3 linked regions of the Tribolium castaneum genome follow. The protein of the gene in region 2 purifies or fractionates together with the protein of the main gene of each other region. This does not show direct contact. Links are inferred from orthologs where the notes say so. Each region holds a gene or a part of one and is shown on either strand. Other genes may lie near its edges.

Region 1 (1,971 bases), about 15 Mb from region 2:
CGTATTTGTCTCTGTTACTCTCGTGTCTTTGAAGCTTTCTGACGTAGGAAATGGGTTTGAATCACAATAAAGAAATAGTCTGTCTTGGTTATCGAGATTTATTTAATACCTTACTAAACCAAAATTATTAAAAAAATAACGTTTGTAAACTTAAAAATGGGTTGTGTTCAATAACTTATACCATTTCTAACTTTATGATAATTTTTGGTGGCTTGTTTGTTTCTAAACATTCACTAAGAACTTGATAACGATAAAATATTGTTCGCGGTAGACGAAAGTCCGTAACTGAATCTGAAGCGCACACGCGCTTTAAATAAATCCTGGACTAGTTCAGGATTAGTTCTAAAAACCTTCCGCGAACAAAGCTGATAACATATGACGCTGACACTAATAAATCCTTCAAAACATGTCAATTTTTGTCATTTTTTCGAAGACAAAAAGCCGCTGCCATTATCAAAATCATATGATGGCAGTAAAAAATATTGTAGATGGCACACATGAATATGAAATTTTGTCTATTCACAAACATTATCATACTCGGAATTGCCTCGCGCGTTAAACTACTTTTTTTCCTTGATTTTTTCATTATAGAAAACTAGGAAAACAGTGCAAAAACAAAATTAAAAAAAAGATTTTTTTTAATATGATAACAGGAAAATTGACTGACTGATAATAAATTTTATGATTTATTTTAATTACACAAAATCACATTAGCGCCGCTTAAACCCGTATTTCTTACGCTCATAGAAGAGGTCAGTCTTCGAACTACCCAGATTCACAATTTTGGGGCACCCATCCCTGTCTTTCTCCTGAATTGTGCATTCCTTACAGTAGTAAGCGTCTGAAATACCTGGACCTCCACAAATCACGCATCTGCCCTGATACGAACCGTAGTTACACTCGTCACAAATCCTCACTAAAGTGCAGGGACGCACGTACGAATCGCAAATAACGCATTTTCCGTCACACTTCTCACAGAGCCTCCCTATGGCCACCCCCGGCTGCTTGCGACAAAAAATCAAATCGGGGTGATGCTTGGCCATGCTTCAGTGATCTACAAATCTTGTTTCAACAATACTGTTATTCCAAACTCAGGAACTTACCGTAAAACGTGAGAAAACGTTGAGCTTTGTTTCGAGATTTGTTAGGTTATGTGTACAACAGTTGACAGTTGAACTGGAAGTGTCGACAGTTACGCCAGCTAGACGTTCTTATTTTCGTGTCAAATGATTAATTAATTGTCGAATTTTGATTTGAGTATTACGGAAGCACAAACTAATTTCTATATAACTTAAGAATCGTGACCACATTCAACAAATAAATAAATAAATTTAAATTTTGACACCAGACACTAGTAATTTCATTTCATCAAGTTGCTGAGTTCGTTAAGTTGGCAACACTACTATAAAAAATCAAAAAGTGATTGATTCCCTTTGAACGTTAGGCTCCAATTTGCCGAAACTGAAGCGATTTCAACAATGAATTCGATGTTTTCCTCACCCGCAATCCACGTTTTCTCCCAAGAAAGTGAGTATTTGATGTTCGGTGAAATAATCTTCAAGTGTCGTTTTTAGACGTTGGAAGTGTGGCAAAAAAGCCAAGAACCACTAACACCCTATCAAGAAAACCGTTTTTTGATCGAGCCGTGAATGCAAACACGCCTGATTTTGGCAGAAATGTGAAACCCGAGCCGCAACTGAAAAAGCCTGAGCAAAATATTGACATAGAAGATGATGACTTATTTATTTACGACACTTACTCCTTCAAGGATATGAACGGTTTTCACCGAGATTTGTGTGTGACGAAATCTGATTTCTGGTTTTAGATGATTGCGCTGCTGATAAATTAATTACTGCAAAGGAAAAATTCAACAAGCTGCGACCATGTTGTGGTTACAAGGAGTTGACTCCATCTCCAAAGTTATCACCTGTTGATTTTGATATGTTTATTAAGATTCCGAAAACTATCAAG
Region 2 (2,052 bases):
CCTGCTTTAAACAACCAAAATATGCACGAAATCCGCGAGTGTCGTCACCCTCTCCTCGAGCTGGTCTCAAATTTCGAGCCCAATGACTTTTGCTCGGGGAATCACCACAGTCACATTAAAATAATCACGGGGCCTAACGGCAGTGGCAAAAGTGTGTATTTGAAGGAAGTAGCCCTCGTTATTTACTTTGCCCACATTGGCTCCTACGTGCCTGCCAGGAGCGCCAACATCGGGATTTTGCATTGCATACATTCCAGAATGCAAGCGACGGAATCGGCAGCCGTGCGCCTATCTGCATTTATGATTGACGCAATCCAGGTCTGTATAAAATTTTGCGAAAAAATTAATCGTAAATTAGGCCACGCAAGCGATTCATAACGCGCGCCACAACTCTCTGATCTTATTGGACGAGTTTGGCCGGGGAACCACCGTGGAGGATGGACTTGCTTTACTGGTCGGCTTTCTGGCCGACTTTCACAAACAAGGCAATAACTGCCCTCACATACTTGTCTCGACGCACCACCAAAGCATTTCTGATTTTTTACCGGAAGATGGTGTTGTTGAATATTTGAAAATGGCACATTCGGAGGAAAATGGGACACTTTTGTTCCTTTATAAAGTGGCGAAAGGTGTTTCGAGGAGTTTTGCGATAAAAATTGCGGCCGAAGTTGGCGTGGATGCGAGTATTATCAAACGGGCAAACGAATTGTTTGAAAAAAAGAAAACAGTCACGCCATTAGTCCGTTGTGAGAGTTATCCGGCTTCCGTTAATGATAGTGCGTTGATTGCGTTTTTAAAAGATGTTAATATTCCGGAACCAGATGAGGCATAATTGTGTTTGAATATCCCGCTTTAGTTTTGTTAATTGTTGGGTTGGTACGTGTTACGTTGGCGATCGTGTTGTTCAGTCAATAAAAACGTTTGTGTGAGTTTGTTTTTGTATTTAATTCATTGAAGCAAATTAAAAAAACGCCACAATGGCTTTGGCTATGCAAAGAAAGGCAAACGTAAGTCGTTAAATACCAAAAATTTGACCCAAAAAATGTTTTTTTTTATAGGTTAGGTTGCCCCCAGAAATCAACCGAATTCTCTACATCCGCAATCTCCCCTATAAAATAACAGCCGAAGAAATGTACGATATTTTCGGTAAATATGGGGCTATCAGGCAAATCCGCGTCGGTAATACCCCGGAAACTAGAGGCACAGCTTTTGTGGTTTATGAGGACATTTTTGACGCAAAAAACGCTTGTGACCATTTGTCCGGCTTTAATGTTTGTAATCGGTATTTAGTGGTTTTGTATTATCAGGCGAGTAAAGCGTTCAAGAAGACCGATATTGAGAAGAAACAGGAAGAGATTGATAAGATGAAATCAAAATACGGAATTAATACGTAAACATATTGTATTGTACATAATTTTAAGCTTTTTAAATAAATAATTACAATGAGAATGATTTTTATATCTAACGCAATTAAATCTCCCTTTAAATTCCCTTTCAATTCAGGGTGAGTCTGCTAAGAGTTTTTTTTTATGGGTACAAATTAAATGCACAGTATTTTATTTAAACGACAAGTATTTTTGATCAGTAAAAATAATAAACGCACAGTAAAAATAATAAACGCACAGTTAAAATAATAAATGCACAGTAATAATAGTAAATGCTCAGTAAAAATAGTAAATGCTCAGTAAAAATAATAAATGCACAGTAGATAATAGCATCTCAAAAATCGTTCGCGGGATATGTTTCGTTTTAGTTCGATGGGGCGAAGCCCCAGCCTGCAGGCTATCTATTGAGCGTTTATTATTTAAACCGTGTAAACTGAAACTAGATACTGTGCATATACGATTTTTTTACTGGGTAAATTTTAATAAAATACTGTGCGTGGTTTTGTCATTTAAATTTTTTACTGAGTAAAAATGGATTAAATACTGATCATTTATTATTTCTACTGTGCAAAAATTAATTAAATACTGATCATTTATTATTTTTTACTGATCAAAATCGAATTTATTAATGATCGCTTTATCACTACCCTTTTTTTACTATTGACTA
Region 3 (2,579 bases), about 400 kb from region 2:
GTCCTTCAGAAATTTGTGATGTGAGAAACCTTTCCCTCAAGTACAATTCGGCTCACAATTAATTATCATCAGGTGGTAATAAATCTTATCGCGAAACGCGCATTCTTCAAGTCTCATTAGCTCGGAAAAGTCACAAGGAAATTTTCTTCCAGATTAAGAATGGAACGAGTTTTATCACTCATCGGCGCGTAATTGGTGTAAGTTCAATGGAAATAAACCCGTTCGGTTTGGATAAACATTTGTGACGTCAATGAATAATTTGGCTCTTGTTTTTTGCTCTAAGGGGAAGTGAAGAAGACAATGGCTTGATTCGTTTCACGAAATCATTTTTTGATTAATTAATGACGATGCGGGGAATCCGACAGATAATAATACTTCAAACGTACATTCCACACATTCATTGTGTTTTTCTTATTGTTTAGCAACTTTTTTTAGCCAGAATTAGCATATTTGTGACCAACACAAATCGCTGAAATAAGTGTTGGCAGACGTGTTTTTGTATATAGTGAAGCCTTTGAATCCGAGCCATTTTTGTTTGGGGTTTTCCCGATTATGAAATTAATTTTTTCTTACCTAATTAAAATAAATAAATAACTGAAGCAGGACTTTTTATTACAAAATACAATAATGTAACATACGGAGTATATTATCAAATTATCATTATCAGCTGTTAACAGTTAAAAGTAAGTTTGTTTTTCGGGTTAGAAGGGGTTCGGATTAACGACGTTTTCCTGTATTTTTTCATATTTAGATTCCATGTTTTGATACAAAAATTAAATTATTAATTATTTGGTCCCAATGATTGATATTTATTGCTTCATCTTAATTTTGGAAATTTTTGGAAATTCAGGGAAATTGCGTTTGGGGCGCTCTCTACAGGTATTCGTGTAACAATTACAGAAACCTGTAACGGTAGTCGGTGAAATTGATGGCTTGTGCGTTGTTTGTTTAATTGTAATTTTTCGCTAAAACCTAATTATGGTGAAGCTAACAGCCGAGCTGATTCAAAATTCCATGCAATACATAAATCCGGTAAAAGACCGCGAGTTGGACTTACGAGGTGAGGACCAAATGTAAAAAAGTTGGGTTAAGTCATCTTTTTTTAGGTTATCGCATCCCCGAAGTGGAAAATCTGGGGGCCACCGGTGACCAGTTCGACACAATTGACTTTTCGGACAATGATGTGCGCAAGTTGGATGGTTTTCCGTACTTGAAGCGGTTGAAATGTTTGCTTTTTAACAATAACCGTATTGTGTAAGTTGTGGGGTTTTTTCGTTTTTTTTTTTTGAGTTTTGGGGTTTTAGACGCATTGGGGAGCATTTGGAGGAGTACATTCCTAATTTGGAGACGCTGATTTTGACTGGGAACCACTTGGAAGAGCTGGGTGATATTGAGCCGTTGTGCACTTTGGAGAAGCTCACCACAGTTAGTCTTTTACATAACCCTATCACTTCCAAGCAGCATTACAGGCTATACCTAATTTATAAGTTACCGCAGTTAAGGTTGCTCGATTTTCGTAAAGTCACAGCTAAGGAACGGGAAGAGGCGAGGGCTCTGTTTAAGAGTAAGAAAGGCAAGGAGATTAGGAAAGAAATTGGGAAAAGGGCAAAGACGTTTATTCCCGGAGGTACAGGTAACAGTATTGCCAAAAGTAAAGGTACGTCTTACATTTTCTGTGAGTTTTATTTTTTCAATTTAATTATTTTTTCAAGGCCTTACAGACGAAGAAATTGCGAAAATTCGTGAAGCTATCAATAAGGCCAGTTCTTTGGAAGAGGTTGAACGGTTACAGAAGATTTTACAGTCTGGTCAAATTCCTGGTCAAGAAGAAATGAACGGTTAATTTTTTCTATGATTTATTGTGGGAAATGTAATATTTTTTTTCAGGATATCAAAATGGACAAAGTATGGAATATGAATAAGTTTGAGGTAATTTTCAGTCAGGTGTACAATTAATTAGTTTTATTTATAAGTTCCGGTTGATAAGAGTATTGTACTACACTAAATACAAGGTTGAGAAGCGAGCGGAATTAATTTTTCATTTTTTCTAATAAAGCAATACGTACAATAACTGGGTATTATTTCAATCTTTCCCGACTGAAACAATGCCTTTCTGGCAAGATTTATCTGTTTCAGAAATTAATTGAACGAAATAAGCTAACAACAAATTTTGTTTTGCAGCTAATTTTTCGAAGAAAATTAGTTTTTAGTTTTCACAGCGAGCAAAAGTAATGTTAATTACAGAAATAAACCAGTTTTTTAAATTTTGCGGATTTTAAATTTGTCTGTAAACATGTAAAAAATAAAAAATTGTTTTTATCTCAAAACCGTCTTGCGAATACTTTTTAGTGGCTACTCGTGTCATTTTAAGAGCGCCTTGGAAATTGTGTCTAAAGTGACCGAAATACTTTTCAAAGTGTGTGGTAATAGTGGTTTTAGAATATTTCAAAGTTCAAATAAATTTTTTCATTTCAGAATGTTTTAGTTGATTTGGAATTATTTCTATAACAATTCGCGTCACTTATTTTATCTTTTTAATTTTTCATAATTTATTTGTTGTAGTTTTTTACAAAAAATGA

The links.
Region 1: the proteins of Sf3b6 (region 2) and Phf5a purify together in Homo sapiens (affinity purification with mass spectrometry; 4 studies listed by BioGRID and IntAct, with this or other methods). This does not show direct contact. The link is inferred for Tribolium castaneum from reciprocal best matches to the Homo sapiens genes SF3B6 and PHF5A.
Region 3: the proteins of Sf3b6 (region 2) and U2A purify together in Homo sapiens (affinity purification with mass spectrometry; 5 studies listed by BioGRID and IntAct, with this or other methods). This does not show direct contact. The link is inferred for Tribolium castaneum from reciprocal best matches to the Homo sapiens genes SF3B6 and SNRPA1.

Annotation. Positions count from the first base shown.
Region 1 is NC_087395.1:6,324,690-6,326,660, forward strand, and holds Phf5a (PHD finger-like domain-containing protein 5A), read right to left. Parts: upstream 1,257-1,971; 5' UTR 1,104-1,256; intron 1,063-1,103; exon of another isoform or gene 1,055-1,062; 5' UTR 1,044-1,054; coding exon 711-1,043; 3' UTR 674-710; downstream 1-673. Other genes in the region: uncharacterized protein LOC655475, read left to right, coding at 1,479-1,527, 1,575-1,778, 1,826-1,971.
Region 2 is NC_087395.1:21,528,337-21,530,388, forward strand, and holds Sf3b6 (splicing factor 3B subunit 6), read left to right. Parts: upstream 1-848; 5' UTR 849-977; coding exon 978-1,007; intron 1,008-1,058; coding exon 1,059-1,394; 3' UTR 1,395-1,449; downstream 1,450-2,052. Other genes in the region: mutS protein homolog 5, read left to right, coding at 1-318, 359-832.
Region 3 is NC_087395.1:21,925,413-21,927,991, forward strand, and holds U2A (U2 small nuclear ribonucleoprotein A'), read left to right. Parts: upstream 1-892; 5' UTR 893-978; coding exon 979-1,060; intron 1,061-1,106; coding exon 1,107-1,254; intron 1,255-1,304; coding exon 1,305-1,657; intron 1,658-1,712; coding exon 1,713-1,838; intron 1,839-1,887; coding exon 1,888-1,922; 3' UTR 1,923-2,024; downstream 2,025-2,579. UniProt on the Homo sapiens protein: Involved in pre-mRNA splicing as component of the spliceosome. Associated with sn-RNP U2, where it contributes to the binding of stem loop IV of U2 snRNA.